Ovis aries: one gene and its partners. The protein of the gene in region 1 interacts with the protein of each later gene in a pairwise test. Links are inferred from orthologs where the notes say so. Each region holds a gene or a part of one and is shown in the gene's direction. Other genes may lie near its edges.

Evidence for each region.
Region 2: the proteins of PNMA1 (region 1) and FMNL2 interact in a two-hybrid assay, tested with the Homo sapiens proteins (2 studies listed by BioGRID). The two-hybrid records come from large-scale screens. The link is inferred for Ovis aries from reciprocal best matches to the Homo sapiens genes PNMA1 and FMNL2.
Region 3: the proteins of PNMA1 (region 1) and APTX interact in binary tests that used the Homo sapiens proteins (3 or more experiments, as listed by UniProt). The two-hybrid records come from large-scale screens. The link is inferred for Ovis aries from reciprocal best matches to the Homo sapiens genes PNMA1 and APTX.
Region 4: the proteins of PNMA1 (region 1) and MAB21L2 interact in binary tests that used the Homo sapiens proteins (3 or more experiments, as listed by UniProt). The two-hybrid records come from large-scale screens. The link is inferred for Ovis aries from reciprocal best matches to the Homo sapiens genes PNMA1 and MAB21L2.
Region 5: the proteins of PNMA1 (region 1) and RUSC1 interact in binary tests that used the Homo sapiens proteins (3 or more experiments, as listed by UniProt). The two-hybrid records come from large-scale screens. The link is inferred for Ovis aries from reciprocal best matches to the Homo sapiens genes PNMA1 and RUSC1.
Region 6: the proteins of PNMA1 (region 1) and HOXB9 interact in binary tests that used the Homo sapiens proteins (3 or more experiments, as listed by UniProt). The two-hybrid records come from large-scale screens. The link is inferred for Ovis aries from reciprocal best matches to the Homo sapiens genes PNMA1 and HOXB9.
Region 7: the proteins of PNMA1 (region 1) and METTL17 interact in binary tests that used the Homo sapiens proteins (3 or more experiments, as listed by UniProt). The link is inferred for Ovis aries from reciprocal best matches to the Homo sapiens genes PNMA1 and METTL17.

Annotation. Positions count from the first base shown.
Region 1 is NC_056060.1:83,213,277-83,217,689, reverse strand, and holds PNMA1 (paraneoplastic antigen Ma1), read left to right. Parts: upstream 1-1,478; 5' UTR 1,479-2,293; coding exon 2,294-3,355; 3' UTR 3,356-4,137; downstream 4,138-4,413.
Region 2 is NC_056055.1:157,294,094-157,298,378, reverse strand, and holds the start of FMNL2 (formin-like protein 2), read left to right. Parts: upstream 1-1,410; 5' UTR 1,411-1,879; coding exon 1,880-1,996; intron 1,997-4,285. UniProt on the Homo sapiens protein: Plays a role in the regulation of cell morphology and cytoskeletal organization. Required in the cortical actin filament dynamics.
Region 3 is NC_056055.1:38,141,952-38,146,355, forward strand, and holds the start of APTX (aprataxin), read left to right. Parts: upstream 1-1,558; 5' UTR 1,559-2,069; coding exon 2,070-2,137; intron 2,138-4,404. UniProt on the Homo sapiens protein: DNA-binding protein involved in single-strand DNA break repair, double-strand DNA break repair and base excision repair.
Region 4 is NC_056070.1:7,409,667-7,413,962, reverse strand, and holds MAB21L2 (protein mab-21-like 2), read left to right. Parts: upstream 1-1,494; 5' UTR 1,495-2,384; coding exon 2,385-3,464; 3' UTR 3,465-4,061; downstream 4,062-4,296. UniProt on the Homo sapiens protein: Required for several aspects of embryonic development including normal development of the eye.
Region 5 is NC_056054.1:105,500,871-105,504,689, forward strand, and holds the end of RUSC1 (AP-4 complex accessory subunit RUSC1), read left to right. Parts: coding exon 1-289; intron 290-930; coding exon 931-1,059; intron 1,060-2,798; coding exon 2,799-2,967; 3' UTR 2,968-3,510; downstream 3,511-3,819. UniProt on the Homo sapiens protein: Associates with the adapter-like complex 4 (AP-4) and may therefore play a role in vesicular trafficking of proteins at the trans-Golgi network. Signaling adapter which plays a role in neuronal differentiation.
Region 6 is NC_056064.1:37,598,650-37,602,105, forward strand, and holds part of HOXB9 (homeobox protein Hox-B9), read left to right. Parts: 5' UTR 1-772; coding exon 773-1,289; intron 1,290-3,456. UniProt on the Homo sapiens protein: Sequence-specific transcription factor which is part of a developmental regulatory system that provides cells with specific positional identities on the anterior-posterior axis.
Region 7 is NC_056060.1:24,448,392-24,452,210, reverse strand, and holds part of METTL17 (methyltransferase-like protein 17, mitochondrial), read left to right. Parts: intron 1-98; coding exon 99-169; intron 170-361; coding exon 362-469; intron 470-741; coding exon 742-810; intron 811-1,539; coding exon 1,540-1,590; intron 1,591-1,822; coding exon 1,823-1,915; intron 1,916-2,140; coding exon 2,141-2,325; intron 2,326-2,400; coding exon 2,401-2,506; 3' UTR 2,507-3,819. UniProt on the Homo sapiens protein: Mitochondrial ribosome (mitoribosome) assembly factor. Binds at the interface of the head and body domains of the mitochondrial small ribosomal subunit (mt-SSU), occluding the mRNA channel and preventing compaction of the head domain towards the body.

The DNA of each region.
Region 1 (4,413 bases):
GAGGTCGTGTGCTGCTTATGTCTAAAGGGATCCCATATATTTAACTGCCTCAGTGACCTAACCTCTTCTCACGTGCCAGATGTTAAGATGAAGGAGGAATACAACACATATTCAAGCCTCAGCTATTTAAATGTTTTTATTGAGGCTCACTTTTCTTGCATGGTATTTATTACCAGACTGGCAAGCCTAACTTCTTAGGTTTACAGGAAGTATGCATATTTTTATAAAACAATTGTATGTCCTCCCCATATTTTTGCTGTGTTAATATTTGCCTCTAACAATTTGCAGCTGTTTCACCTTTTCCTCATTTGTCTCTCAGTCGAAGGCCTTGTTGGAGGGGACAGAGCACAGGAACAGCCTTGACAGTCTGTAATTATTGTACAAATATTTTAATAGCATATAAATAAGTATATTCCTTTTATTTTGAAAAAAAAATCAGACACTGCCTTCTGTGTGTTTGCTGCCTGTGGCACCCTTTTTTAAAAAGACTGTTACATATTAAAATAGTGTACATATATATAAATATTACCTCTTTTGCTGTACAGTTGTGATAGACCAGACGGAAGATTTTATTTTTTGTGTGCTTTTTATAAAAAAAAAAATTAACACACTAAAGAAAATCTTGCTGATGTGATTGTAATGTACCTATGTAACTTATTTACTTTTGAATGTTCTTCTGTATCTTTAAACCTTTTATTAAATAAGGTTTTAAAAATTCATAGTTGAATGCTGTGTCCTTTAGGGGAGATTTTCACCATCTAGGATTGACGTAAATTGGCCTTGGTTTGCTTGCAAGGAATTACTTGAAATTTTTGAGCCATAAGCATTCTGTTTTATCAGCCCTTTGTCAGTGATGCCAGGACAGGGGAAATAACACACTAGCGTTTGCCTGGCTACAAAGGTTACTTAATAGATCTAGATCTTACAAAATTTTAGAAGAAAAAGGCTCAACTCAGTGTCTGACAGGAGAACACTGCACACTTCCAGCGTTTTAGTCTTATTGGAATGAAGTTCGCGGAGGGTGCACAGTGCGATCGATCGGCTGGTACTGCATCTGTTTTTAAACAGCAAACTTTGGGAGTTAGTGATGGACCAGGAGACCTGGCGTGCTGCAGTCCATGGGGTCGCAAACAGTCGGACATGATTGAGCGACTGAACTGGACTGGTTGAAGGAGCGACGTGAGTTAAGTCTTTCTTGACAGACTCATATCATCTTCAATGCACTCCAGAATTATATTAAACTTTTAAACACAGTGCTTTGTTTAAAAAGGAAAAAAAATCTGGAAAATGAAAAAGGACATGCGCCATCAGAGGACGCTCCGCGGGCCCTTAGCTGGCACCATGGCAACCGCAGGCAGCCGGAGCGTCAGGGTCTGGAGTCTTCCAGGCCGCCGTTGCCTTGGCTACGCTCGCGCAGGATTCGGCTGCGGGGGCGGGGCGAAAGCCACTCGTCGGCCGGCCCCGCCCCTCGCTGCGGCAGTAACGCCTGGGCTGGCTGCGGGTCGGTCAGGCCGGCAGCCCCTCAACGCCGTTCGGGGTCAGCTCGCCGCAGCCCACGCGCAGCCGCTGCGGCCTGCCTTCGCCGGCGCCGCCTCTAGCCTCGCTCCCGCCTCCTTCCCGCGCCTCGGCTGCTGGTGCTCAGGGTATCCGACTGTCCTCGCCGCCCAGAGAGGTGTACCTGCGCCAGCGAAGAAGCCGCTCTTGGGCTGGCCTCGCTGCGACCTCTGGACAGTCTCCCCCTGCAGGGACGGCACAGTTCGCAGTCTGCAGAGGAGCGGCTCCTCGCGCGCCTGAAGGCCGAGCTCTGACCGCGGAAGCCGGGTTGATGCCAGGAGGGGCAGCAGCGAGTGGTCGGCTCCTGGGCTGCGGAGAACTGGCGGCCACGCCCCGGGATCACACCCCGGCGGCCTCTTCAGAGCGCGGCGTCTCCTGCCTTCTCCTCCTGCCTTCCCTCCGGGCCTCTGCGCGGAGACACGACACCCTGCCTGCAAGTGCGGGACCCGGCCCGCGGACGCCGACCGGAGACACGAGATGGCGTTGGGCGCGTGACTGAGCATCCCCCAAGTTTCGCTCCGAGGACGCGGAGGACGGACGTTGGTGGAGGCAGTGAAAGGACGAGAGCTGGACTCTGGTGTCGTTTGTTAATTGTGATTGCTTGAAGCTTGACTCCCTTGGGCAAATTGCAGGGGAGTGTCCGCTGTCGTCCTAAGTCCTTTAGCACAGGGAGCCACAGTCTTAACTTATCTAACCCCCTGATAACCCAACTATCAGGGGCTCTTGATAGTTGGGGAAAATGGCGATGACACTGTTGGAAGACTGGTGCAGAGGGATGGATGTGAATTCCCAGAGAGCCCTGCTGGTCTGGGGGATCCCGGTGAACTGCGATGAGGCTGAAATCGAAGAGACCCTCCAGGCTGCGATGCCCCAGGTGCACTATCGAGTGCTTGGGAGAATGTTCTGGAGGGAAGAGAATGCCAAAGCAGCCTTGTTAGAGCTCACTGGAACTGTGGATTACGCTGCCATCCCTAGGGAGATGCCGGGTAAAGGAGGGGTCTGGAAAGTAGTCTTTAAGCCTCCGACTTCCGACGCTGAATTTCTAGAAAGGTTGCATCTCTTCCTAGCCCGAGAGGGATGGACTGTGCAAGATGTTGCCCGTGTCCTTGGGTTTGAGAACCCCGCTCCGGCCCCAGGCCCAGATATGCCAGCAGAGATGCTAAACTATATTTTGGATAATGTTATTAAGCCTCTTATAGAATCCATATGGTACAAGAAGCTGACGTTGTTCTCGGGGAGGGACATCCCGGGGCCTGGGGAGGAGACATTTGAGCCCTGGCTGGAGCACGCTAATGAGGTCATTGAGGAGTGGCAGGTGTCTGATATAGAAAAGAGGCGGCGGTTGATGGAGAGTCTTCGAGGCCCTGCTGCTGATGTCATCCGCATCCTCAAGACCAACAACCCAGATATTACCACCGCCGAATGCCTGAAGGCGCTTGAGCAGGTGTTTGGAAGCGTGGAGAGCTCCAGGGATGTGCAGGTCAGATTTCTGAACACTTACCAGAACCCGGGAGAAAAATTATCTGCTTATGTCATTCGTCTGGAGCCTCTGCTGCAGAAAGTGGTGGAGAAGGGAGCCATAGATAAAGATAACGTGAACCAAGCCCGCCTGGAACAAGTCATTGCCGGGGCCAACCACAGCGGGGCCATCCGAAGGCAGCTATGGCTGACTGGGGCTGCGGAAGGGCCGGCCCCTAACCTCTTCCAGTTGCTTGTGCAGATCCGTGAGGAGGAGGCCAAGGAAGAGGAGGAGGCGGCTGAAGCCGCCCTCTTGCAGTTAGGCCTGGAGGGGCACTTCTGAGTCCCGAGAAAACTGACTTTAGTGCAGACCTAGATCACAGCTGCTTTTCGTGTCTCTGTGCTGTCCTGCAGGTATGTCACCTAGTGGTAAAGACTTAGCGTGGTTTTTCTGGGGTAAGTCAGGCCTGCATATTCACGTTAACATTGGTAAAAGCTTGCAAGCCAGCACCAGAGCTGCTGCAGTATGAGTCATGTCAGCCACAATGCCAGGGAGAGACTTGGACAGTGCAAATTGTCAGTGCTGCAAGCTGTCATGGCGTCATCATCATCAGTTGTGAAAACCATGGGAACTCGTGACACTTCCCAGAGGTAACTGAATGTGAAATTGCATGTTCAGAAGTTTTTAGTGCACGGCCTGGCTCACACAAGAAGTGTTGAGTAAAAATGTGAACTGTTGTTATTACTACTATTGTGAGTAGTTTTTGTGTTTACTGTAAATTGTTTCTGATTTATATTAATGGAAAGAAATGTGAATTAGATATTATTCAACTTTACAGTGCAAATTTCTCATTTTTCATCTTTAAACATCTAGATCAGTTTGAGACGTGTTCTGAGGCTGCAAAAGGAGTTGTTAGAAATACTGCACTTAGAGTTGTGTAAATCAAGTTTTCACTGAACAAGATACGAATAGAACAGGGAGGTTAATATGAACCAGCTCAGTATCTATTCCCCCATTTCAAATCTTTATCATTGAAGAAGTTTACCTTGTTCATGCTGGTTCTAAGTGTTCTAAATTTGAAGTTATCAAGCACATGTTTATTAATAAAAATATTTTAAAAATTCTGTTGTCTTGTTTTTCTGACATGTATGAAAACTTTCAGTGTAATTAAGCTCTATGATCTTCTTCGGAAGACTTCGCCATGTCACTGAAAAAAACCCCAAACCTCAGTTCTTTTACTTTAAGCTTTATATCATACTATGTAATTTAAAGTTTCAGTACCTTTCAATATATTCAATTTTTGCATGTTTTCTACCAGACAAGTGTTTGAAGGCAAAATAGACATAACAAATATTAACTTACTATAAAATGTTAGAAAATCCTGAAATGGAGTTTAGGAG
Region 2 (4,285 bases), on another chromosome or scaffold:
ACAGATTGCATTTATTCGGATTTTAAGTTGAACTTATTTATACTTGCTCCCTTCTTAAAGAAAAAACAACAAAACCAAACTATAAGTGATTTACCGAAGAGACCATACACACACATGATGTATTTGTGTATATCTGCTCCATAGGCTTTTGGTAAAAATTCAGTAGTTATTGAACATCCACTGTGTTCAAGTCATCTTGAAGTTTATAAACCTGAATGAAACATGATTCTTGATGCCTGAGTTTTGGTGTGTTACCTCATTTAGAAGCAGTTGATTTTTAACAAGAGGGTAACAACTCCAGTTTTATATCAGAAGCACCTGGAGGGCTTGTTAAAAATATACCTGTCCCGGCCCTAGCTCTTAGCTTAGGGAAATTCTGATAATAGTCAGGGCCCATCCTGCAGTGCAGTTTTAACAACCTCCCTATGTGAATCTGATACAGGAACCAGGATTAAGAAACACTATTTTAAGCTAAGAAAGGACTAATCACAGGACTGCAGCCACAAGTCAACCAGGTGGGTACCCTTGAAATCTACAAAGGGTAATGTGGCTACACGTTTTCTAAGGCTGTCTCTAATTCCACTGTCTCTGAATGGACAGAATAGTTGTAAGAGCACTCAGGAAGGGCAGGGTTGGGCCCAGTCTTCTCTGTAAAACACCTGGAACAAGAGTGCTATAGAGGAATAAAACAGCTACAGCCAAAGACCATCTCCAGAGCCTTTTCAAATGCTCTGTTCTTATTTCTCATGCAAAGCATAGTTGTGTAAATTTTCTCCTTCATTTGACTGGAAAGTCTTTCTCTAGTTAAGGAACACAGTAACCCATTTGTAATAGCTTTTTGACAGATATTTGTTTTGAATCCTCCTCATCCAAATCCTGGGGTCTGACCAGGACGTATAAAGGTATATATCCATCTGAAAGTTTGTAAATATCCATAAAAGTACATTTGTTTATAAAACATTTCAACTGCACAAAAGAATATGTGAATGTGTAACATACACAGGGAAGAAAGAACAATATAACAAACACCCATGGACCCACATCCCAGTTTATGACGGAGAAAGTTGCCAATACCCATGAGGTCTCCTGTTGAACAGCTCCTGAAATTTAAATCAAAATGCGTGCATTCAATCATTGACTGGTTAATTCATTCACTTGCCAAATGTGCCCGATTGCCTACTAATCAATGTAGGCGATTAGTATCTCTTCCGTTGGAGTGGCGTGGGGGTGGGGGTCAAAAGTGACACTTCCCGAAGGTGCTCAGATTGCCTTTCCTGCAAGCGGCCCTAACTCAGCCGGGCCCTCCAGAGAGGGCGTGGTTTCTGCGTGCAGACACTTTGGGCAGAAACTACTGGTCCCGGCAGTCCGCGGGGCGAGTGGGCGGAGCCGGGCCGGGGGCGGGGGCCGGGCGAGAGGGGCATTGTGTCGGGAGCGCGGAGCTGCATTTGTCTGCTCTAGGTGCTGGTCGAGCCACCGTTGTGATCGCCGGCGTAGAGCTGGAAGTGTCAGCGGCGATCACTGTCCCGGCGGGAGACCAAGTCCGAGCAACCACGCTCCCGTTGGCCGCTATCGCTGGCAGGGGGCGGCGTGCCAGCGGAGCAACATGCAGATAGGCGCCCAGCGCCCTGACGACCCCTCCCGAGGAAAGGAGGCCGGGGCGGCGCTGGGGCGGCGGGGAGCATGAGGCAGGCCGGGGGCGGCTCGGCTCCGAGCGCTGCTAGGGAGCGGCGCGCGCTGCACACTCGCCGGGGGCGCAGCGGAGGGCGGGGAGCCGGGCTGGTTGCGCCAGCGGGCGGGAGCCGGCCGCCGGGAGCTGTTCTGATTTCCGACGCGGACGCAGGGGGCCCGGAGTAGCCCCCTGCCCCGGCGTGCAGCCAACATGGGCAACGCCGGGAGCATGGATTCACAGCAGACCGATTTCAGGGCGCACAACGTGCCTTTGAAGCTGCCGATGCCCGAGCCAGGTGAACTGGAGGAGCGATTTGCCATCGTGCTGGTGAGTGCGCGGCGGCGGCCGGGAGCCGGGCCCCGGGGCCCCAGACCAGGCGGTGCAGCTGACCCCCGCCCTCTCCCCTTCTCCGCGCGCCGGGAGCGAATCCCCGGTCCCAAGGGGGAGGCGCCTGCTTCGCTTATTGTGGCCTCCCTTGGCCTCCTCTCGGTCCTCCTCCGATCTCCCCGCGCCAAGCCTTCTTGGGGTCCCGGAATGGGGCACGGGTCTGGGGGTTGGCTGACTGGCCGGCCCCGAACCCATTGTCTGGCGGGAGAGGCACCTCGCAGCGCGTGTGTCGGGGAGGTGCGGCGTGGGCGTGAAGGGAAGGTGGCGCGGGCTTGGAGGAGGGGGCGGCTGGCCGCTAAGGCTTTTTGTTTAAGAAAAAAACTCCCCTCAAAGCCCGAGTCCTCGAGAACCATCCAGCGGGCGCCCAGCCGGGGCCCTGCGGGGTACGGGGCTGATGGGCGCATGTGGCGGGTTGAGGGCGGCGCGGTGCGCGAAGGCGAACTTGGAGGCGGACGTCTGGCTTGGCAGAGGGGAGCTCCCCCAAAAGGGAAAGAGAAGGAAACCCGCGGCAGTGCGGCGTCCCCGTCCCTAAGCGAGGAGGGGGACATCTGAAACCGGCGCGAGAGAAGCTTCGCCTCGGCGCGTTCCTTTTCGTCTTAAAACAAACCACAAAAATGTGCAGTTTTGCGGGGACGTGTTGCAAGCTGTCCTGACTCTAGGGATCCCTCCCCTCCCCTTACCAAATCTCCGACTCCCTCTCTCGGAATCCCCTTCTCCTAGCTTTCCAGCTTTGTAAATCTGAGACACTTGAAGACTCTCTTCTGCCTTTCCTTGCTGGGTGTAAGTTTCTGGGCCCCTCCCAGCCTGAGCCTGTCAGTGCTGTGAGCTCAGGAGGGTGTGGCGGTCTCCCCCTCGCCCCAGCCGGCGTCTGGACCGCAGTTAGTCCCCAGACTTCGACTTTTAGTGTCTCAGCCTCTCTTAAGGGCTGTTGGGAGGGAAACATAAGATTCGACGCGTTTCTAATACTTGCGCTCGTACAGTTGCCTTTTCCTAGCTAATTACCTGTACATCCTACAATAGTAGGCAGCAAGAGAAACTTGTGCTTAAGGCAATCGAATTTCGCGTCTGCATACGGGGTTTGGGCATGTAACCTCCCAACTTTGGGGATTGACCAGAGTCTGAAGAACACTGGGACGTTTAAAAAGCCTTTCTTCAGGCTCTTGAAAAGGACTGGTTTAATATGGGGACTGTTCTGGATGGCAGATTAGCTTTGTGCTCTTTGGAAGAAGAACCCACGAGCTTTTTCACACCACCTGGAAACTCCGGCGTGGCAGTCTGGAGATAGATGAGGCTGCCTGTCTTGCACTCCGTGGTCTGAGATCTCACACAGCTGCTCCCATTGTTGTGCAGAATGAAACACTCTGAAATGGAACTGCATGGGCTTAATTACTTTTGAAGGCAGCCTGGGTGCAAACTTGACCTGTCTTTCCAGGGACAAACCTTTTTGGTTCAAAATCCTCTTCCTACCAGACTACATGGTTCTTACCTCCTAGCCTTGGGTGTTCTGTCTTTCTGTCCATGCTGTGCTGGGTGGGTGTGCGTGTGCGGGTTGTGTGTTCTGGGGGTGGGTGTGTGTGTGTACACTGTAAGTGGGAGGGCCAGTGACGCAGGCAAACCAGATAATAACAATAATGCAATTAAGTTCTCAACTGGGATAGCATGTTTTGCATGAGCTTTGAGTTACCCTGCTGATTAATGACACATGGTATGAATTACCCTTTAGGAAAATAATGTCCCAGCATTAATATGGTGGATCTGTTACTTTAAATCTAGAAAGCACAAATTTAGTATATAGAAATTCATGTTTCTACATCACAAGTTCTTTGGAGCAGTGGTTACTGTGTAGCTTCTTTTACTCTGTCATACACAAGCACTGGATGCAGTTCCTTTCCTTAACTTTATAATATTTTACGCCTTTCAAAACAAATGAACAACAAAACCAAAAAATACCAGGCTGACCTTTTTCAGGTTAAGACAAAGCTTTTGGGAAAGTATCAGCTTGGGGGCCCTCTTGTTAGGGATGCCCTTGGACCATTGATGTGGTATGCAACTCTCCCTAGTCAGCTCCAACTGCCCTTCAGAATTCTGTATGGGGAGTTAAAAGGAATCCTTTTTATGGGCTGATAGAAGTACGGAGTTCTGGTGACTTCTCTTGTAGTCAATTTTTTTCTAAAGGTGTCCATGTGATGCTCTCAACTGTGCTTTTTCTTCATGAATTACTTAACAAAT
Region 3 (4,404 bases), on another chromosome or scaffold:
AATTAGAATAATTCAATCCAATTTTGAATGCCAGACACACATAGGCAGGTCAGGTATTTATAGAAGCAGAGGCTAAGAGAAGCTTAATTCTGTGTGTGAGTGTGGTGCTCAGTCATGCCCAACTCTTTTCTACCGCAAGGACTATAGCCCACCAGGCTCCTCTGTCCATGGGATTTTCCAAGCAAGATTACTGGAGTGGGTTGCCATTTCCTTCTCCAGGGGATCTTCCCAACCAGGGATCAAAATTGTGTCTTCTGCATTGGCGGACAGATTCTTTACCACTGTGATGCTTGGAAAGTGCTTAATTCTGAGGGAAAAACAAGACTGGTCGGGTCACCACAACAGCCTCTCTTTACCTGGAACAGTGTGAACCACATTCCACTGCCATGAGGCCTGTGCAGCCGCGGAGCTGCTCCTTGTGCTCCCGCACTTCCTGGTGTGACCTTAATATAAACCTGCATCTTTTCTGCCAACAAGGGCAGCTCTCCCTTGTTTCCTGGAAGATCCTCCTATTCTGTTTTAATAGCTGATATCTTCATCCTACGTCTCGCGCCTTGTAGACAGATGCTTTACTGTCTGAGTCACCAGGGAAGTCCTAAATCTCTATGTAAGGAAACGATATTAGAAAAGAGACACAGTTTTTCCATCTGCCAGAATGCCTTTGAATTCTTGCAGTTCATGACTCTTAGGGAACATCCTGGAACTGTCATAAAAATCAGTAAACATCTCATTCCAACATCTTGCTATTCTCCTCCCTGACAGCCCCTCAGCCAGTTCATTCAGTGAAGACAGCATTAAAAAAATCTTAGGTTTCTCCACTTCTGGCCCCTTCAGACCTTTCTCACTCAGAAAAAGAGAAAGCCGATTGTAGCTTCGAAAGCGTGCGGGAAAACAATGCCACAAGCAGGTACTGTCTACAGCGGAAACGGTGGCTTTAAAAGTAGTGAGCTTTTCCTTATTGCTGCTGCTGCTGCTGAGTCGCTTCAGTCGTGTCCGACTCTGTGCGACCCCATAGACGGCAGCCCACCAGGTTCCCCCGTCCCTGAGATTCTCCAGGCAAGAATACTGGAGTGGGTTGCCATTTCCTTCTCCAACGCATGAAAGTGAAAAGTGAAAGTGAAGTCGCTCAGTTACCTCTGACTCTCAGCAACCCCATGGACTGCAGCCTACCAGGCTCCTCCGTCCACGGATTTTCCAGGCAAGAGTACTGGCGTGGGGTGCCATTGCTTTCTCCGGAGCTTTTCCCTATGAAGGGAAAGCGAAAATCAAGATGCTGCATGGCTGCCTAGAAGCGGCCACCGAGAGGATAGCTGCCTGAAGTGTATCCCAATTCAGAGATTAAGAGGTGGTGACTGGGGAGCGGCTCTCGGATAGAGGGGAACTGAGAGAACTCGTCGTTTTTTGGTTAACTGCCAGGAACCAAACTTGGACTTTTGCCCAGTTCGGAACCAAATGGGGCGGGCACTTCCCCATCCGGGCATCTAGCGAGATCCTCAGTCAGTCTTCCGACAGGCACTGGAAACGTCACAGGTTGCGCCCCAGTTTGTCTTGCAACGTCATCCCTCAGCGCCGGAAGTGAAGGAGTAACGTGAGCTTGTTGGCCTCAGCCATCTGGAGGTAAGGCGGTTGTCGGCCTACCTCGTCTCCTGCCGTATTGAGAGCCGTGAGTGTGGGCATCGAGTCCACCTCTACCCCAGAGTAATGTTCCCTGAATAACGCTCTCACGGCTCTTTCCCGGCAGGCAAGCAGGCGTTGCTCCATCCTCGGGCTCTAAGGCCCAGGGCTGCCCATTTCCCTCCTGCCGTGTTTCAGCGGCTGGCGGCGCTCGTGTTGGTCTCCACTGCACTTCGCGTTGGTTCACCTATGCGCCTGACACCTGAACCTAGCTTAGTCAGAGCACAAGCAGAAAAAAGATTAGAGAGTGGGCACTGTCTGACCCAAGGAGGCTTCGCAGCCTGTCAGGAGCGACTTTGTTTTCTCCAGAAACGCTCCTTGAGAAGAATTTGAGGGCCCTTCACAGCATCCACAGCTGGCCTTGTAGGAAGACCAGAAGAATCAAGCCTTTTCTCATGCAGACCAATGATAGCGGTTCAACAAATCAAGGCTATAATTTCCATGTGGAATTAATGTGGTCCAGGTTTGGAGCCTTTTGAGAATTTGATATATATCGGGAGCCATTAGAACACAGAGGACAGGACTACTCTGTTCAGGGAGACAGAACATTTGTGCCCTGTCACCTTCGCTGCAAGCAGTGTTGTCGGATGATCTTTTAACATTTCCTTATAGCGCCTATTCTTCACTATTAACGAGAGTGGTAATGATGTTGAATGCTGTTTTTTTGCCAGGTGCCGAACTTTTTACATCTTAATTTAGCCCTTGTGACAACAGTGTGGTGTAGAGCCATAATTAATATTGTTTTCCAGCTGAAGAAGTCTTAGTTTAAATAACTGGCCTCAAATTATGCAGTGAGTAGTGGTGGAGGGAAGATTTGAACGTGAGCAGTTGGATTTCAGAGGTCTGGATGTTGTCCACTAATTTATATTGATTGTCTTTAGCTGATTCTCAACTGCCCAGACACCTTACTTTGTTGTTATCTGCTATTTTAGGGAGAAAATTGAGTTCATCCGATGTGCTTTCCCTCAAATTTCTACCCTTGCTTTCTTTTCATACACTCGTCAAAGTTGATACCACCTATCTATACCTTTCCTTCAATATCAGAGGATGATCTGTCTCTTGATCAAAACAAATTTCTTTATCTTTGCTTCTGACCTTTCTTTTATGTTTTCACCTATGAAACCGGGGCTTTCATTTGTCTTTTCTTCCCTTGTCTGTGTCCCAGTCATGTATAAACAAGGTCAGGTTATTCAGATCCCTGCTCCTTATCCCCCAAGCCAGAAAGAAAAAGTTCCTGGTGATCCATCTTTCTTTAGCTCACATACAGTAACTCTCTTCTCCTTATCCAGACTTTTTGAAGAGTATTGTGAATTCTGTATCCAATTCCTCACCTCTCATTCCTTTCTGCGATCTAGCTTTCAGATCTGTTATTCCCCTAAAATTTTATACAGTAGTCACTAGTGACTTATTATCAAACCAAATATACGTTCTTTAATCATTACGCTTCCCTAGTGGCTCAGACACTAAAGAATGTGCCTGCAGTGCAGGAAACCAGGGTTCGATCACTGGGTTGGGAAGATCCCTTGGAGAAGGGAATGGCAACCCATTTCAGTATTCTTGCTTGGAGAATTCCATGGACAGGGGAGGCTGGTGGGTCACAATAGGGTCACAAAGAGTCGAACATGACTGAGCGACTGACACTTCCGATCATTACTGGATCCTTTTGCTGCAAACGTGGTGATACTTTTTACTCTTTACTCCTTTGCTTTTCACGACAGTACACTAAGCTGATTTATTCAACAAACATTTATTGTGATATACAGATGAACATGTCAAAGTGCCTCCTTCCCTTGAAGAGCTTACATTTTAGCTTTTTTTCCCCCCGAGTGTTTCCCTCACCAGTAATTTCTCCTGTGGATAGTCCTCCCTCCTTGTCTAAAATGTTGGGTGTTTCCAAGGCTTGTGACTTTGGCCCACTATTCTTTTTATGCTGTACACAATTCTTGAATGAGCACGTCAACTAGCATGGCTTTAACTCCTTCCTGTATGCTCCCAAATTAAAGTGTCAGCTTAGACCTCTGCTGAGTTTCATTCTTACCTCTGGCTACCCTGCTGGATACCTCTGCTTGCTAGTCCCACAGACTGTTCAAATATTGTCTTCTCTGTACTTAATCTTAGCACATCCATCACTGTCTTGTTGATTTTACCCTCTAAGTAGTTCTTAAATCTGTGTTCTTTTTTTGTCTGTATTAATGTCCTACTTTGAACCTTCTTTCACCTGAAATATGATGGCCTTCTAACTGGTTTCCCTGTCTCTAGATCAATTCCCTGCATAACTATTCTTTAACTACCTACCATCCTGCCCCAAGTGATCCTTGAAAACAAATCTGAGTCAAAGTCCTGCTTAATAATATTTAAAGATCTGTCATTTCATTCACCCTATCTTTTCTTTCATTAAGCAAATATTTATTGTTTACTAAATTGCAAAATCCATTAGAGCTTCTAAAGTTTGAGCTTCTCAGCCCATCACCCAGGGCTTTGCTTCATCTGGACCTGCCTGCATCTCCAGCCTCTTATTGACCTCATACTTTAGGTTGCAGCAACCCTGAACTGCTTCTTCATGCGTGTACACTGTCCTGTTCCTTTTGACTGGAATCTTCTCTTTGATTCCTTCCTCCACTTCCTGCTCCTCAGCTAATTAGGCTGCCCACTTTCACCTAACTAACCAGTTCATATATAAGTCTCAATTTAGGCCCATCTCTTATAGGAAACCTTCCTTGACACCTTTCT
Region 4 (4,296 bases), on another chromosome or scaffold:
CACACACCTGAGGTTCAAACATAAACCTTCAAGTCGAAGCAAATCAGAAACACTGTTACACCTTTTTCAACCAAAAATACCTAAAGGCTACCATAGGTTCAGCTTGAAAGGCTAATACATAGACTAACAGCACATGCGTGAGTTTCACTGAAATGCCAAGGGAGGAGCAAGCCATCTGTGTAATCAATAACAGGATAGTTTATAGATTTTTGCAGCAGTGAAGTCTTTTAAAAGCAAGAGTCAATTATGAAAATAAAATGATTTTATAAGAGAAATTCTGTACTGCCTGAAAAATATACTCAAAATTAGATTTGTAACATAAACATTTTAAGAAAACTTTAACTCAGGTTCACATTTACTTCCCTTCGTTTTTATTAAGTTTAAAATTTTAGTGGTTTATTTTAAAAGTATATCCAAAGAAATTCTACCATATATAAATCTGCACCATTTCTCACAACTTAAACATATTTTCTAATAAGTTAGTTCTTGAAACAATTAATATTAAATATATCTTAATCTTAATTATGAAGTAATTATAAAACAAGGTACTTGCACTATTTGTGTCCTGCCTTGTTTTTCAACAGCATATGGAAATTACTGAAAAGAGATTTACGATTATAAACCTTCACCCCATGTCCAACCCCCCCCCTCCCCAACAACTGCCCAACTGGCGCACACATACAGCAATTGCTAGGGTTCTTGGCAACAATGAGAGGGGAGGGGAAGAAAAGGAAGACTGCCTGAGGAGAAAATCTAGAAAAATTTAGGTCCTTTCCCAGATTTCCCTTCCTCCTTCCGTTTGCCTTGAAGCGAAAGTAATTTTGTTAGAGTTTGCACCTTCTTCACAATGCTGATAGGAAAGAAAAAAAAAAAAAAAAGTGAACCTTTCTGAACCACTGCCACTCTCCCTTGAATCATTCCAGCCATCTCCAAGAAGTCCCTTCTCTATATACTCTTTCTTCCTGGCAAATGATAAGAGCGGACGATAAAGAAGAGGGGGCTGTAAGATGTGTGTAAGCGTTTGACTTCCACTATCTCCTCCTATTTTCTTACTTCTCTCTTTCCTCCCTTTCTTTATCAAGGGCAGCGGTGGCTGCTACTGTTTGCCAAGCATGCCTGTCTTCTCTCTGGGATTGGCTACAGCACTGACAGCTCGGATAGCGATTGTAGGAACTGAAGCTCCACCCCCCTCATGATGGTACAGGACCATTCATAAACTAAATAACTCCAGGAAACAGCAAGGGGAGAGAGAGAGATTGGGTGGGGGGCTGGGTGGGGGGGGGGAGAGAGAAAGAGGGAGAGAGGGAAAAAGACAGGGAGGGAAAAGGAGGGAGGGGGAGAGGGAGGGAGGGAGGGAGAAGGAGAGAGATTAGGGGAGAGAGAGAGAGAGAGATCGGAGGGGAGGAGGGAGAGACGACTCAGAAAGTGGAATCTGCACAAGCAACCTAAAGGGGGAGGAGAAGAAAAATCCTGAAGTCGTTATAACTAAACCCCAGATGCAACGCAAGCAAGGACTTCGTCACACTAAAACAGATTCTGTGAGAGCCAAATTTATAAATTACGAAGCAGAAATGAAAATCAAAGAACTTCCAGAGGTTTGCACCTAGAGAAAGACAAGAAGAACCCACTGCAAACAAGCCAACCCAGTCCAAACAACGCCTCCAGTAGGAAAAGAGGAAAACCGCTACCAGAGGACCCCCTGAGCGGAGAGCAGACCTACACGCTGGGAGTGCAAGGCGTCTGAGAACCTCTGCGCGTGCTGCGGACTGAGTTGCACTTCGCTGCTCTCTGGACATTAATTACACCCTTCACCTTCCATTTGGGGGACGGTGAGGAGAAAAGCACTCACCTAAGCTGAATAAAGAAGTACTACCAGCGTGGGAGAGAAGTTTAAGAATGAAACACTGAATGTTTTCCTTTTATTTTTAAATTTACTTCGGCACTTAACAGACCTCATTTCCAGATTTCTGGACCATCTCCGCTGCAGACGTCTAAGCCTAACCTCTTGGTAACCTGAATTTTTCCGTCTCACCCTGTCTTTCCCCACCCCCCTTCTTTCCCTTCATCTTGCCCGCAGGCACATCTTCATTTCACTTATCAAGAGAAAGGGAAAAAAAGTCCCAGCAGGTACTTTTCTTTTTCAAAGATTTTTTTTTTTCTTCTTATTTTCTGGAGAAGAAAAAAAGCTTTCAAAAGAGGGGAAAGAAAGCGCTAGACGGCTGAAGCATCAGCTGGTCAGCCCAGGTGGAAACAAGAGTGAACGTGGGGCTCAAGGGGAGCGCAGTGCCTCTTTCGCAAGCCGCAGGGCCACCACCAGCGCGTGAGCCTTGGATCCCTCAACGTATTGCGAGACGCCGGTGTACAGCCCGGACTTGTGCCCCAACATGATCGCCGCTCAGGCCAAGCTGGTTTACCAGCTCAATAAATACTACACCGAGCGCTGCCAGGCGCGCAAGGCGGCCATCGCCAAGACCATCCGAGAGGTCTGTAAGGTGGTCTCGGACGTGCTCAAGGAGGTGGAGGTGCAGGAGCCTCGCTTCATCAGCTCCCTGAGCGAGATCGATGCCCGCTACGAGGGTCTGGAGGTCATCTCGCCCACGGAATTCGAGGTGGTGCTCTACCTAAACCAGATGGGCGTCTTCAACTTCGTGGACGACGGCTCGCTGCCCGGCTGCGCGGTGCTCAAACTGAGCGATGGGCGGAAGCGGAGCATGTCTCTCTGGGTCGAGTTCATCACGGCGTCCGGCTACCTCTCGGCACGCAAGATCCGCTCCCGTTTCCAGACGCTGGTGGCTCAGGCGGTGGACAAGTGCAGCTACCGGGATGTGGTCAAGATGATCGCGGATACCAGCGAGGTCAAGCTGCGCATCAGGGAGCGCTACGTGGTGCAAATCACTCCCGCGTTCAAGTGCACCGGTATCTGGCCCCGCAGCGCGGCACAGTGGCCGATGCCCCACATCCCCTGGCCTGGCCCCAATCGGGTGGCGGAGGTCAAGGCCGAAGGGTTCAACTTGCTCTCTAAGGAGTGCTACTCGCTGACCGGCAAGCAGAGCTCCGCCGAGAGCGACGCCTGGGTGCTCCAGTTTGGGGAGGCTGAAAACCGTCTGCTGATGGGCGGCTGCCGAAACAAGTGTCTCTCGGTGCTGAAGACGCTGCGGGACCGCCACCTGGAGCTGCCCGGCCAGCCGCTCAATAACTACCACATGAAGACGCTGCTGCTGTACGAGTGCGAGAAGCATCCGCGGGAAACGGACTGGGACGAGGCGTGCCTCGGGGACCGGCTCAACGGCATCCTGCTGCAGCTCATCTCCTGCCTGCAGTGCCGCCGCTGCCCCCACTACTTTCTGCCCAACCTCGACCTTTTCCAGGGCAAGCCCCACTCGGCCCTGGAGAGCGCTGCCAAGCAGACCTGGAGGTTGGCCAGGGAGATTCTCACCAATCCCAAAAGCCTGGACAAACTATAGCGCGCTGGGGACTGCTTGAAAAGCGACACGGATGGGAATGCTCTCGAACACACGACAGACACACAACTCGGCGACAAGCTGCGAGAACTCCAGACACAAACTTTTCCTGTCAGCCACCTAAGAGGAACGGAACCCGGCAGAAGACTTCCTTAATTCACAAGCAAACAAAAAGGAGAGCAAACCCACCACCCAACCAAAATCACATTCTTGCACAAAAGTGATCGTTTTCTTCCAAACAATGTGAATTTAAAAGGTCACACAAAAGAAGCAATCGGGCTTTGCCACCACAAAATGAAACCCAAGGTACATTTTCAAATCAAAATATAGTCGTTTCTCCCTTTTCCTTCTCTCCCCCTCTTCTCTTTCTCCCTCTCCCATCCTCCCCACTTTGTTTTGGGTTGCCTGAATGTTGTCACCAAGTGAAAAAAAAAAAGTATTTAATTATATGTAAAATTCTTCTTTTAAAAACAAAGTTTTGCTGATGTTAACTGTATCTCAGTGCCAATGTCAAATATGCCCCTCCTTCTCCCACACCTCTTCCCTCACCCTAAGCAGTCTTGTTGAAAACAGTAATAAAAATATGACTTTACGTTGTAATTGACTGATTGTGGATTGTTCTTAAATGAAGGCAGGTGAGAGCACAGTTTATAGTTTATAATATAAAGATGTGAACTTGAGGAACTAAATGCAAGAAGCTTCCATTTTAACTCCAGTCTGCAAAATTTACAAATGTAGAACATTTTGTAGATTTAACCATTCAAGTTTCCACCAAGATATTCAGAACAAGGAAAATTTTAATTTTACACAACTATACGTTTGTTCTGTAGATTTT
Region 5 (3,819 bases), on another chromosome or scaffold:
GGGCTTCTGGGGAGGCCCCTCCGGGCCCTTCAGCCCCCTCAAGCTCTCCCAGCCCCTGCAGCTGGTGGGAGCAGCTGACCCAGGCCTCCCGGGTCTATGCGTCTGGTGGTGCCGAGGGCTTGCCTCTTCCCCGGTGGGGGTCCAAGCGCACCCAGACTGCAGCTGAGGCCGCACCGGAGAGGTCCCTGCACACAGAGGAAGCAGCACCAGGCAGAGGCGTATGGCTGGGGAGACTGTTTGGAGTGCCTGGGGGCCTTGCAGAAACTGAGAGCGGAGCCCCGAAGTCCAGGTAATGGGGTCCCTGGCCCCCTCCATGACCTCTGACTCCCTCTCAGAGCCCTCAGTCAGCCCAATTTGTTTTTGGTGCACTGGGTGCTGGCAGGATCCTGACCAGGGACTGCGCGCAGGCCCTGGCAGTGAAAGCAGAGTCCTAACCTTTGGACCACCAGGGAACTCCCTCAGTCACTCTTAATTTGAAACTCGGTAGGGATCCTTTAGGTCCGAGGTTGACAGCCTGGCTTTTCTACAGCCATGATGGTTATATTCTTAAGTCATGAACTTTTAACAGTTATTAAATACCTGCATGATATTGTCCACTTTTCCTCTTGGCTCTCAAAGCCAAAAATACTTTCTGGCTCTTTAGAAAAAAAGGAAATATTTGCGGACTCCTGCTCCAGGGTTTGACCATTGGTGGCTCAGTGGCTTCAGGTACTCTTTAGTGACCCTCTGGAGCTAAGCCTGCTGGTTCCGTAGGTCCCTTTGTGGCTTTTGGTGTGGTAGACCTTGCCACACTGCCCTCAGCAGTGACCAATTCCTGACCTCTTGAACCACAGTTGGGTCCCTCAGCCTCTCCCTCCCTCCAAAGTCCCAGATCCTTGGTTATTTTGTGGAGGTGGGCTGACCTCTGTGACCCTTCATCCTTTCCTCCAGGAGACCATCCAGCTGGTTGCCCCCGACAGTGAGTGTGTTGGCTCTGGTGAAGCGGGCGGCACCTCCTGAGGCTCCCTCATCTCCTAAGGAGCTTGAGGTCTCAGAACCTAGCACGGCGCAGACCCACAGGTAAGGAGGGTCAGGGAGAAGCACTGGTGTGCACGTGTTATGTTACATGTGTGGGTTTTTCTGACTTCACAGTGTGGGTGGGAGGTGATGTAGTCAGACAGTGCTTGGTTCGCATTGCATCTTTGCTGTTTATTATTAGTGTGATACTAGTTTCTCTGAACCTTTAGTTTCTTTTTCTGTAAAAAGAGGATACTTTATATTTTTGTAATGGTTGTTATGAAGACTAAACGTGATTTTATAAAAGTATTAGGCACATGGAACATGCCCAGTTACTGGCCAGTTTTATTACTGTATGAGTGTACCATGAATGCGTGTGTGTCCCCTGGGGGACTGGGCTTCCCTTTAGTGGGGCCTTCTAATTTGGCACCAGGGGCTGTGTCATCTTTAGGGTCTGGCTTCTTTTAGGTTCTCAATCCACTGAATTTGGCTTCTTTCCTCGGGGGGCTGTTCTGGGTCTTCGTCGCTGCTCGGGTTCCTCTCTAGTTGTGGCGCGGAGGCTTCTCAAAGCTCTGGCTTCTCTTGTTGTGGAGCAGGGCTCTAGGGTGCAACAGCTTCAGTAGTTGTGACTCCTGGGCTCTAGAGTACAGGCTCAGTAGCTGCGGTGCGTGGGCTTAGCTGCACTGTGGCATGAGGGATCTTCCTGGATCAGGGATGGAATGCATCAGGTATGCATTGCAGGGGGACTCTACTACTGAGTCATCAGGGACACCCCTGAATCAGGTTTCTTGATTTTCCATTCAAGTACTTTTCAAGCACATACTATGCACTTAGCATTATACTGGAGGAGGGAATGCAAAGGGAAACCTGTTGGAATCTCTGCCCTCAAGGAGCTTGTACTCCAGTGGGGATACCAGTTAATAAATCAGCACTTACCATATGTGCTAAAGACTCTGGGGAAGGAAGATAGCCCTTTGAGCCATACAGACAGGGCTTCTTCCTGAGGTCTGGGGACTCAGAGAAGCCTAGTGATGGTGTGGGCTATGAATCTTGCAGAAGGGATAGGATGCCAAGGTGGAGAAGGCAAAGTGCGGTAAGTGAGGAACTATGAGTACATGGCTGGAGTGGAGGATCCTGGCAGTGGTGATGGGGAGGTCAGAGGTGTCAGCAGACCAGTGAAGGAAGCTGGGTATCACTCCAAGGCAGTGGGAGGCAATTAAAGGGTCTTAAGCCCAGGGATGATAAGTTTTAGAAGGATCTCTACTGCTGTGTGGAGAATGGAGAGGGTGGTCAGGATTCAGGCAGACCAGTTAGATATATGCCAGTGGTCCAGAGAGTATAGAGGCCTAAACTAAGATAATGGCAGTGAAGCTGAAGATAAAGAGAGTGGTGGGAGAAACCAACATCAAACAGGTTTTGGTGATTGATTGGATGTAGAGACTGAGATCCCTTTTTACCAGGAATAACTGTATAGGTGATGCCATTTACGACTATAGGGGACCTAAGAGGAGGGACTAGTTTGGAGGGTTAAGATGAGTCATTTAGTTTGCATATGTTGAATATGAAGCACCAGAGAAGTGCAAATTACATTAAATAACGAGCTAAACAGTGGGTCTGGAGCTTAGGAGAGGGCTGGGGCCCCAAACAAATCAGCGTTGAAAAGACTTGGTCCCCATGAGCCCAACTGATGTTTACTGAGCTGAACCAACAGGGACATACATACCGTGGAGGTGGGGAGGTGAGGCTGGCGACAGGCACCCCCACCTCACTTCATTCCAGCGTCTCCCTCTGGCTCCTCACAGGGCAGTCCGGGCTCTCTGTGACCACACTGCTGCAGGACCTGACCAGCTGAGCTTCCAGCGAGGGGAAGTGCTGCGTGTCATCGCCACTGTGGACGAGGACTGGCTCCGCTGTGGGAGGGATGGAGCGGAGGGGCTGGTACCCGTGGGGTACACCTCCCTTGTTCTCTAGGCCTAGCACCTTTTCCTTTCCTGCACCTCTCTCTCCCTTCTGTCACCTGGGAATGGAATGGCCTGTGAATACTCACCCATGTATACTGACTGTCCCCAAAGTACCTTCCCTGTCTGTAAAATGACACTTTCCTCTCATAGCCATTTCTGCTAATATCTAAAATAAACTTTTCCTTCCCTCCCATACCCATCTATAAGGTGAAATCTGCTCTTTGAAAATATATAAAAAGGAATTTCCCTCCATGCCATCTCTTTCCTCTTTCCAATCTGTATTCTGCAAAATGGAAATCTAGCCCCCCTCTATCTTCTTCCTTCGTAAGTGGACTGCACCTCTATATATGCCTCAGTTCCCAAGACTTGAAGGGCCTGTGTAGTCTTCTTCCTGTGTATGGAACCTTCCCCCACCTCACCCATCCCATGTTGCCTGTATTTATGATGTACTCATGCTGGACTAGGTGCTGAAGTCTGGACACCCCTGGTGGGTGGGCCTGTGGTGTTGGTCTGTCTCCTTCCTCCTTTGTCCCAATAAAGAGTGGGAGTTGAATGTGTCGTCACTGTGGGTTTCAGGACATAGGCTATGGGGGAGGGGTGGGAGGCTGTGTCTTGGGGAGCCCAAGGGAGATGCTTCTTTCCTAGCTGGGTCTAGTTCTGTTCCCTGAGAGGTAGCCCCTGATTGGTGCTGACTCACTGAAGTGCATCTCTAGTCTGAGACTTGATTGCTTTGCTTAGACTGATAAGTAGGAGCCTGAGTAGATACGGGAGAGCTGGGAAGACTTAGTCCATGAAATTGTACTTGCAAGCTTCATAGCTGAGGTGATGGGAAAGATTAAAAGGTGTTAAAAAGGGACACATT
Region 6 (3,456 bases), on another chromosome or scaffold:
TCTCCCCCATCCCCTTTCCTTCATCTCCAGTGGCTTGCTGCCGCGCTATTGTTTAATAAACATATTGCGTCAAGGGACTGAGAAGAGGAAACTAGGGCCGGCGGGGTGGAGTGGAGGTGTGTTAGTGAAGGGGCCGGGACCACCTCCTCTTTCTTTAATTATGCCCCGGGCCTCTCGGGTCGCTCCCCTGGCTGCAGCTCGCTCCCTCCCTGTGTCCTGCGCTCCCTCTCGGACCCGCCTAGGGAGAGGGCTCCACAGCCAGCGTCCCTCCCGAGGCAGCCCGCTGCTTTCCCTCCGCCTCTCCTCCGCCCCCGCCGCCCCACGTCGAGAACTGCCCCCCTTCCTGCAAAAGCGGGAGGGGGCTGGGGGGCGGGCGGCCGGCAGCTTGGGCTGAGGTTACGTGGCCGCCGGAGCCCTGACGTGATAGCACATTGCATCAGCATAAAACAATCCATCCTCGATATGGAATGCGGTGCGGACGTATGACAGCGAGAGCGCAGCCCCCTCGCCCGATTGATTTATGTCGGAGCTGACGCTTTATCAGGCAGTCGGAAAAACTTTGACCAATCATTTTGCAAGGAGCGCTGAGCCGGGCTGCTCCACTGTACTTTGTTGGCTGAGAAGTTGAGCAGGGGGTGGGGGTGGGAGGGTGGGGGGCTGGGGGGGTCGCGTCCGAAAGCCCTCACACCGGTCCGGGTGCCACCTCTCCCTGCTTGAGCGCCGCGCGCGAGCGTTTCCCTTCCCCCTGCGAGCGCCCGGATAATGTCTGAGAATGTCCATTTCTGGGACGCTTAGCAGCTATTATGTCGACTCGATCATAAGTCACGAGAGTGAGGACGCGCCTCCAGCCAAGTTTCCTTCCGGCCAGTACGCGAGCCCCCGGCAGCCGGGCCACGCGGAGCACCTGGAGTTCCCCTCGTGCAGCTTCCAGCCCAAAGCGCCGGTGTTCGGCGCATCGTGGGCGCCGCTGAGCCCGCACACGTCCGGAAGCCTGCCGTCCGTCTACCACCCCTACATCCAGCCCCAGGGCGTCCCGCCGGCCGAGAGCAGGTACCTCCGCACCTGGCTGGAGCCGGCGCCGCGCGGCGAAGCTGCTCCGGGGCAGGGCCAGGCGGCTGTGAAGGCGGAGCCGCTGCTGGGCGCGCCTGGGGAGCTGCTCAAGCAGGGCACGCCCGAGTACAGTTTGGAAACTTCGGCGGGCAGGGAGGCTGTCCTGTCTAATCAAAGACCCGGCTACGGGGACAATAAAATTTGCGAAGGAAGCGAGGACAAAGAGAGGCCGGATCAAAGTAAGTTATAAAAAGTGAGGAAATACCCAGGCCGAAGGCCAGGCGAGGGGGAGGGGAGGGGAGAGGCAATAAACTGCGGACAATGTGAAGGGAAACCGCGGCGGTGGCCAGAGAGCAGGCGAGGGCGGAGGGAAGACGGAGGAAGGAAGGGAGGCAGCTGGGTGCCCCAGAAAGGGAGACTGAGGCCGCCGGAGGCGCGCCGCCCCACTCCGTCAAGTCCAGCGGGAACCCGGGGCTCAGGGACCAGCTCGCGGCTCTCTCGGTCTCCCTTCCCCCACGCCCCCGGAGGCCCGGGCCGAAAGCCCGGGAAGAGGCCGACAGCCGCCGGCTGGGAGAGAAGCTGGCGGGGCCGGGGAGGCAGCCGGCGAGGCCGAGAGCCCGCGCGGGCCAGGGCGGGAGCGCGCCGGGAAGCCGGGCCCTGCACGGCTGGCAGGGCTCCCCGCGCCACGCGCACACCGTAAAAGCCGGCCAAGGGGAAGTGGGAGGGGGCTCATTAGGATTTTATTTGCGATGCAACAGCTTGGCGGAGGATTGTTCCTAGCAGATCTCGCTCAGTAGCCGCTCAGGGTCCGCAGCCGGAGGCGGGAGGGGCGGGGGAAGCCCAGGACCCGGAGACTGAGCCCCCTCCCGGGATGCGCCGGCCCCTCCCCAGGAGCCTTCCCTCCGGTCGCCCCCTCCCCTCCTTTGGCATCCTCGCCCGGGTCGCCGCTTCCTTTCCTGCGGTTCCCGCTGTTCTCCGCAGGGCTCCCTAGCCCCAGCCGGAGCTGTCCGCCTCGCGGGGAGTCGAGGAATCGCTTCCGAACTTCAGGGCCGACCCGCGGCGTGGAGAAAGATCCCGAAAGGACCCTGGGGAGAGGAAGGGTGGGGGCAAGAGAGGCTTGCGGAGAGGCGGAGAACTTTATCCTCGGAAGGTAGTTTCTCACCGTCTCCCACCCCTCCAAATGCACCCCCTCCAGGAACCCCAGTCGGACTAATTTCCAGGAGATGCTGCTCCTTAAGGAGATCAGAAAGTGTCTCGGATTTTTCGTTTTTTAAGGCTAAGAAGGGCAAGTTGGTCGGAGCTCTTAGGCCCCAAACAATAACCTGCAGGCTGGTGGGGACAAGTCCTCACCCCTTACTCTTTTTCAAAAGAATGAGGGTCAGATTTTTAAAGTCTCTGCTTGCCCTACCGGATTTCCCACCAACAGAGTGGCCCAAGGGTCCTTTGGGGGTTTATTGCCTGCTGGAGAGAAGAGAGCTGCCCTACTCCCTCAGGTCACCCCTTCCAACCTGCCAGGTGGGATCACAAGAGCTGACATTTGGGTAACACGGCTCTTCCCAAAGCCTCCCTACTCACACCCAAGCAGACCCCCCACCCCAGGCCCCCAAACTCTGCCTGGAAAGTCCATTATTGCAAGGCAGCAGTTTGGCTAGGATCAATTATTAACAGTTTTTTTTTTCCTCTTTCATATTTAATGTGACTTCGGGTCACATCCCAGGCAATCACATTAAGGAAATAGCACTGCAAATTGGTAAGACAGGGTACTTAGTGTAGGATGAACCAGATTATTATTACTTAAAAAAAATTCAGTGCTTTTCATTTGAGATGAAGGAATCTAGCAGAGGGTGGCTGCTATTTTTAATGAACTCTGCTTTATTTAGCAACTTTTCTGAGTTCAGGGGTAAGGAGAAGAGAAGCCTGTATATATTTTGTTTCCTGTTTATCCCCCACTTCCCCTCAATCTCCCCTTTCTCTGTTCCCTCTCACCGGGTGAAGCCAGTTGGATTTAGGTGTGCTGTGATGGACCTCTGTTACCCCCACATGATCCATGGCTCCCCACCTTGGGACTGGAGCAATCTTGCGTCCCAATTTCCCTGAACTTGCTTTAACCAAACTGCGAGATGAGCAGGAGCGGAAACGGAGACTATTGCAACCATAAGTTATCTGTGAGCCCTCAGCGCTCTCTTGTCCACAGGCTGGAGGTGATAAATGGTTGTAATTGGGTTGCATGTGAATTGGAGTGTGCTGAATGTTTGCGTCTCTAAATGCAAACCATATTTGTGGTGTGTGGTGTTGGGGGGGGTGGCGAGCTATCACATAGATACATATGCCTGCTGCCATGTGGCCAAGAGACCCAAGCTTGTGGTTAAGACAGGAGGGTGCACTGGACTGGAGGCCCAGGAGGTC
Region 7 (3,819 bases), about 59 Mb from region 1:
CAGTTGTCTACTCTGTTGCATCTCATCCTCAGCTAGCATTTTGTCCCTTCAGTTTATACCTACAGTCATATTTGCCACATCTCTACTTTCCTCCACAGGTGGTTCAGGATCTGGGATGCCTTGTGTTCCAGGTGTCTTTTTCAGACAGTTTCTACCTGTATCACCCAAGGCAAGTGGCAGTGTTTAAAGTATGCCAAATGTGGAGTATGCAGATGGAAAACTGTGGTCCTGGCTTTACAACCTAGCATTGAATGTTAGAAAGTAAAAGAAAGCAGAAGAAATTTAGTGGGATAGACCTTTGTTGTACTCTTTAAAAGACGGAGATGTCAAGGTCGGTCGTTTTCCTCGTCTCGTGCACCAGGTGCAATTCGATGTGGTGGTAGCAGCCTTTTCTCTCAGTGAACTGCCCAGCAAGGCCGACCGCACTGACGTGGTCCAAACCTTATGGCGCAAGACAGGTCGTTTTCTGGTAAGTGGAAGCCCTTTTTTCCCTTCAAGTTTTTAAGCAGCTTCATGGGTCTGTTTCATGCCTTTCCTGTCCCCATTGGAGCTTGTCTTCGTTTTTAACCATTTTCATCCTACATAGATCCCTTGTCCCTCTTTTCAGGTCTCCATCTGCATCATATATGTAATACCCATTTCGTTTAGAATCCCTATTCTATTTGGGAATGCTCTTACAGAGCTACTGACATTCATGTTTTCATGTAATTCAAGGCTTCTTACTTTCCCTTTTGTAATCAGGTATTGGTAGAGAATGGAACAAAAGCTGGGCACTCCCTTCTCATGGACGCCAGGGACCTGGTCCTTAATGTAAGGTTCTTTTTCCTTCTTTCACCTTACCCTCCTTTCCCCACTTATTCTCACCAGTTCTTGGCACTCCCTTGCAAACTGAAGGGACTGGCATATAGTAATAAGGATGACTCTGGAGATAGTAAGCACATGAAGTCATGATATAGGGTAGTAGTTGGCAAACTCCAGCCTATGGATCAGATCCATACCTGTTTTTATATGAGCAGTGCTTATATAAACATACCACCTGTTTTTATATGAGCAGTGCTTATTTGTGCATCTATAACCATGTGTCTGTGGCTATAGGTCTGTTGCCTGTGGCTATTTTCATCATACAGATAGCAGTAGGAAACAGATTTTTGCCTAGTCTCTGGACCTTTAAAAAAAATTTTGTTTTTGCCAGCCCCTGATCCAGGGCACTTCTGAACTAAGAACCTTATCTGTTTAGGACCGTATGAACCAGTGTATAATCGCAAATTTCACTGTCTTGAAATGGGATATTTTTTTGAGAGTGAAGGTTACTGACAAGGGAGCGTACCATACTATGTGCCAAGTTTCTGCCTTTCTCTTGCTGCAAAGAGAAAGTTGTTTGTTTGGAGTATTAGAGAAACAGCCAGCTTAATTCAGAACATAGTTAATAATTACCAGAATTGAATGTTAGAGGAATCCTTAATTTATTGAGTGCAGAGATTGAGTTAGAACAGACCCCTCAGCCCAGCCTAAAATTTTTTTCATTTCCCTTGATTTCAGAGAAAAGAAAAGTCACCTTTGGACCCTCGACCTGGTTTTGTCTTTGCCCCAGTGAGTATTACTTCTGCCTTTCCCTGCAAGCAAAGATCTGAACTCAGGGCTAGCCAGGAAAAGAGGGCTAGCCACCATCCTCTACTCTTAATTCCTCAGTGATTCCCCTGGCTTGCCCTTTCATCTGCTCTGTGCTCCTTTATCCCTAGCCCTTCTTGACTCTATTAGTCGTAGTTTCTAGGTTTTATGATCTGTGGTTCTCTTGTCTTACCTCATGTCTTTGTGTTCACAGTGTCCGCATGAACTTCCATGTCCCCAGTTGACAGCCTCTAAGCCCCTGGCCTGTAGCTTTTCCCAGGCCTACCATCCCATCCCCTTCAGCTGGGTATGTACTCTGAGAATACTGTGGTAGGGAGAAAATAGCCTGGGAAAGCACAGTAGAAAAGATTCAGAGATGGGAGGATTTGGGAAATTCCAGAGAATGCTTGGAGGTTTTAGGGTCTGAATATATATGACTTATAGAATATGAGAAGAGTCACAGGAATGAGGTTTGAAGAAATTTGTTTTCCCTCGTCTTTTCCCGCAAGCCATCTCTGTCTCCTTGTCTTAGAACAAGAAGCCAAAAGAAGAAAAGTTCTCCTTGGTAATCCTTGCCCGAGGATCTCCAGAGGAGGCCAATCGCTGGCCCCGAATCACTCAGCCTGTTCTTAAACGGCCACGCCACGTGCATTGCCACCTGTGCTGTCCAGATGGGCATATGCAGCACGCTGTGATCACGGCCCGCAGACATGGCAGGTGTGGAGGGTGTGACCAGAGTTAGTGGGAGGCAGCGAGAGCCTGCAGCCCACGTTGACCCTCTCTTTTCTGTAGGGATTTGTATCGCTGTGCCCGGGTCAGTTCCTGGGGAGACCTTTTACCTGTGATCACACCATCAGAACTTTCTCCATCTCCTGCTCAAGATGCGCCTGAGAGTTGACAACGGATGTGGGACAAGTGTTTTCTTCTGTCTTGACGGCTGAAGCTGAAGCTACCTGGTGTCCAGGATGGGAGTGCTATTACTGTTACGGCAAAAAAAAAAAACAAACTAGTTCAAATATTCTCCATTATAGCAGACCATATTCTTTGAGCTTACTCGGCCATCCTCTCGTGTCAGGAGACATTCAACTTTAAGGGATCCGATATGTTGCATTTTCTTCCTTTGTGTGCCATTTGTCAAGGACTCTGTTCCTTATCAGTTCCTGGGATACAGGAATAAGTAGAGCTGCATGCAGTTCTCAGGACTGCTGCTGCTGAGTCACTTCAGTCATGTCCAACTCTGTGTGACCCCATAGACAGCAGCCCACCAGGCTCCGCCATCCCTGGGATTCTCCAGGCAAGAACACAGGAGTGGATTGCCATTTCCTTCTCCAGTGCATGAAAGTGAAAGTGAAGCTGCTCAGTCATGTCTGACTCTTCACGACCCCGTGGACCGCAGCCTACAAGGCTACACCATCCATGGGATTTTCCAGGCAAGAGTACTGGAGTGGGGTGCCATCGCCTTCTCTGTCTCAGGACTTCTCTGTCTCAGATCATGGGAAAGAGCACCTGCTTGGATTCCCTTCAGTGACTCCCTTCAGTGACCTTGTACTTGTTAGACTATCAATTTTGTTGCAACTGGTGGAATTTCATTCTTTTTAACGGCTGAGTAATCATTTTACTGAAGATATATAAGCATGCATTTCTTATACGCATGCTAATAAAATACTCTTGCTCCACTAGAGACTTGGGTCCCCCGCATCCTTCTTTCTGTCTCCAGCTACTTCTTCAGAGCATGGAAACCTAATGAACTCACTTTCTCACCCGAGCTTTAAAGACCTCCTTGAGAGGACACGCTGTGCCTTCGTGAGTGGTACAAGTCCTATGTATGGGCTTTATTGGTTTTCCACGTAGCCCAAGGGATATTGCCCTTTCCCTCTCTTTCTCTCTTTCTTTTCGTCGACTCCAGTGCCCAGGTCCTGGTCTGTAAAAGACCGCAACAAATGGCACCTGAAACATGGACATGGTATTCACCCTTGGCAAACTGGATGGAGTGACTGGGACCTACAGAGGTCGGTAAGTGCGGAGTTACGGGACAAATGTCTGGAAAGCCCCACCATTTTTCTACTTTACTTCATCATTTAAGGTTCAAAGACTTTTGGTTTTGTGTCAGTGCATAGAGGCATGCCTTCAAACAGTGGTTGAATATAATCCCTGGTTCCCTGATGAAGGCAGTTTTGATTTAGAAATTTGGCACCAAGCCAAAGAGAATGT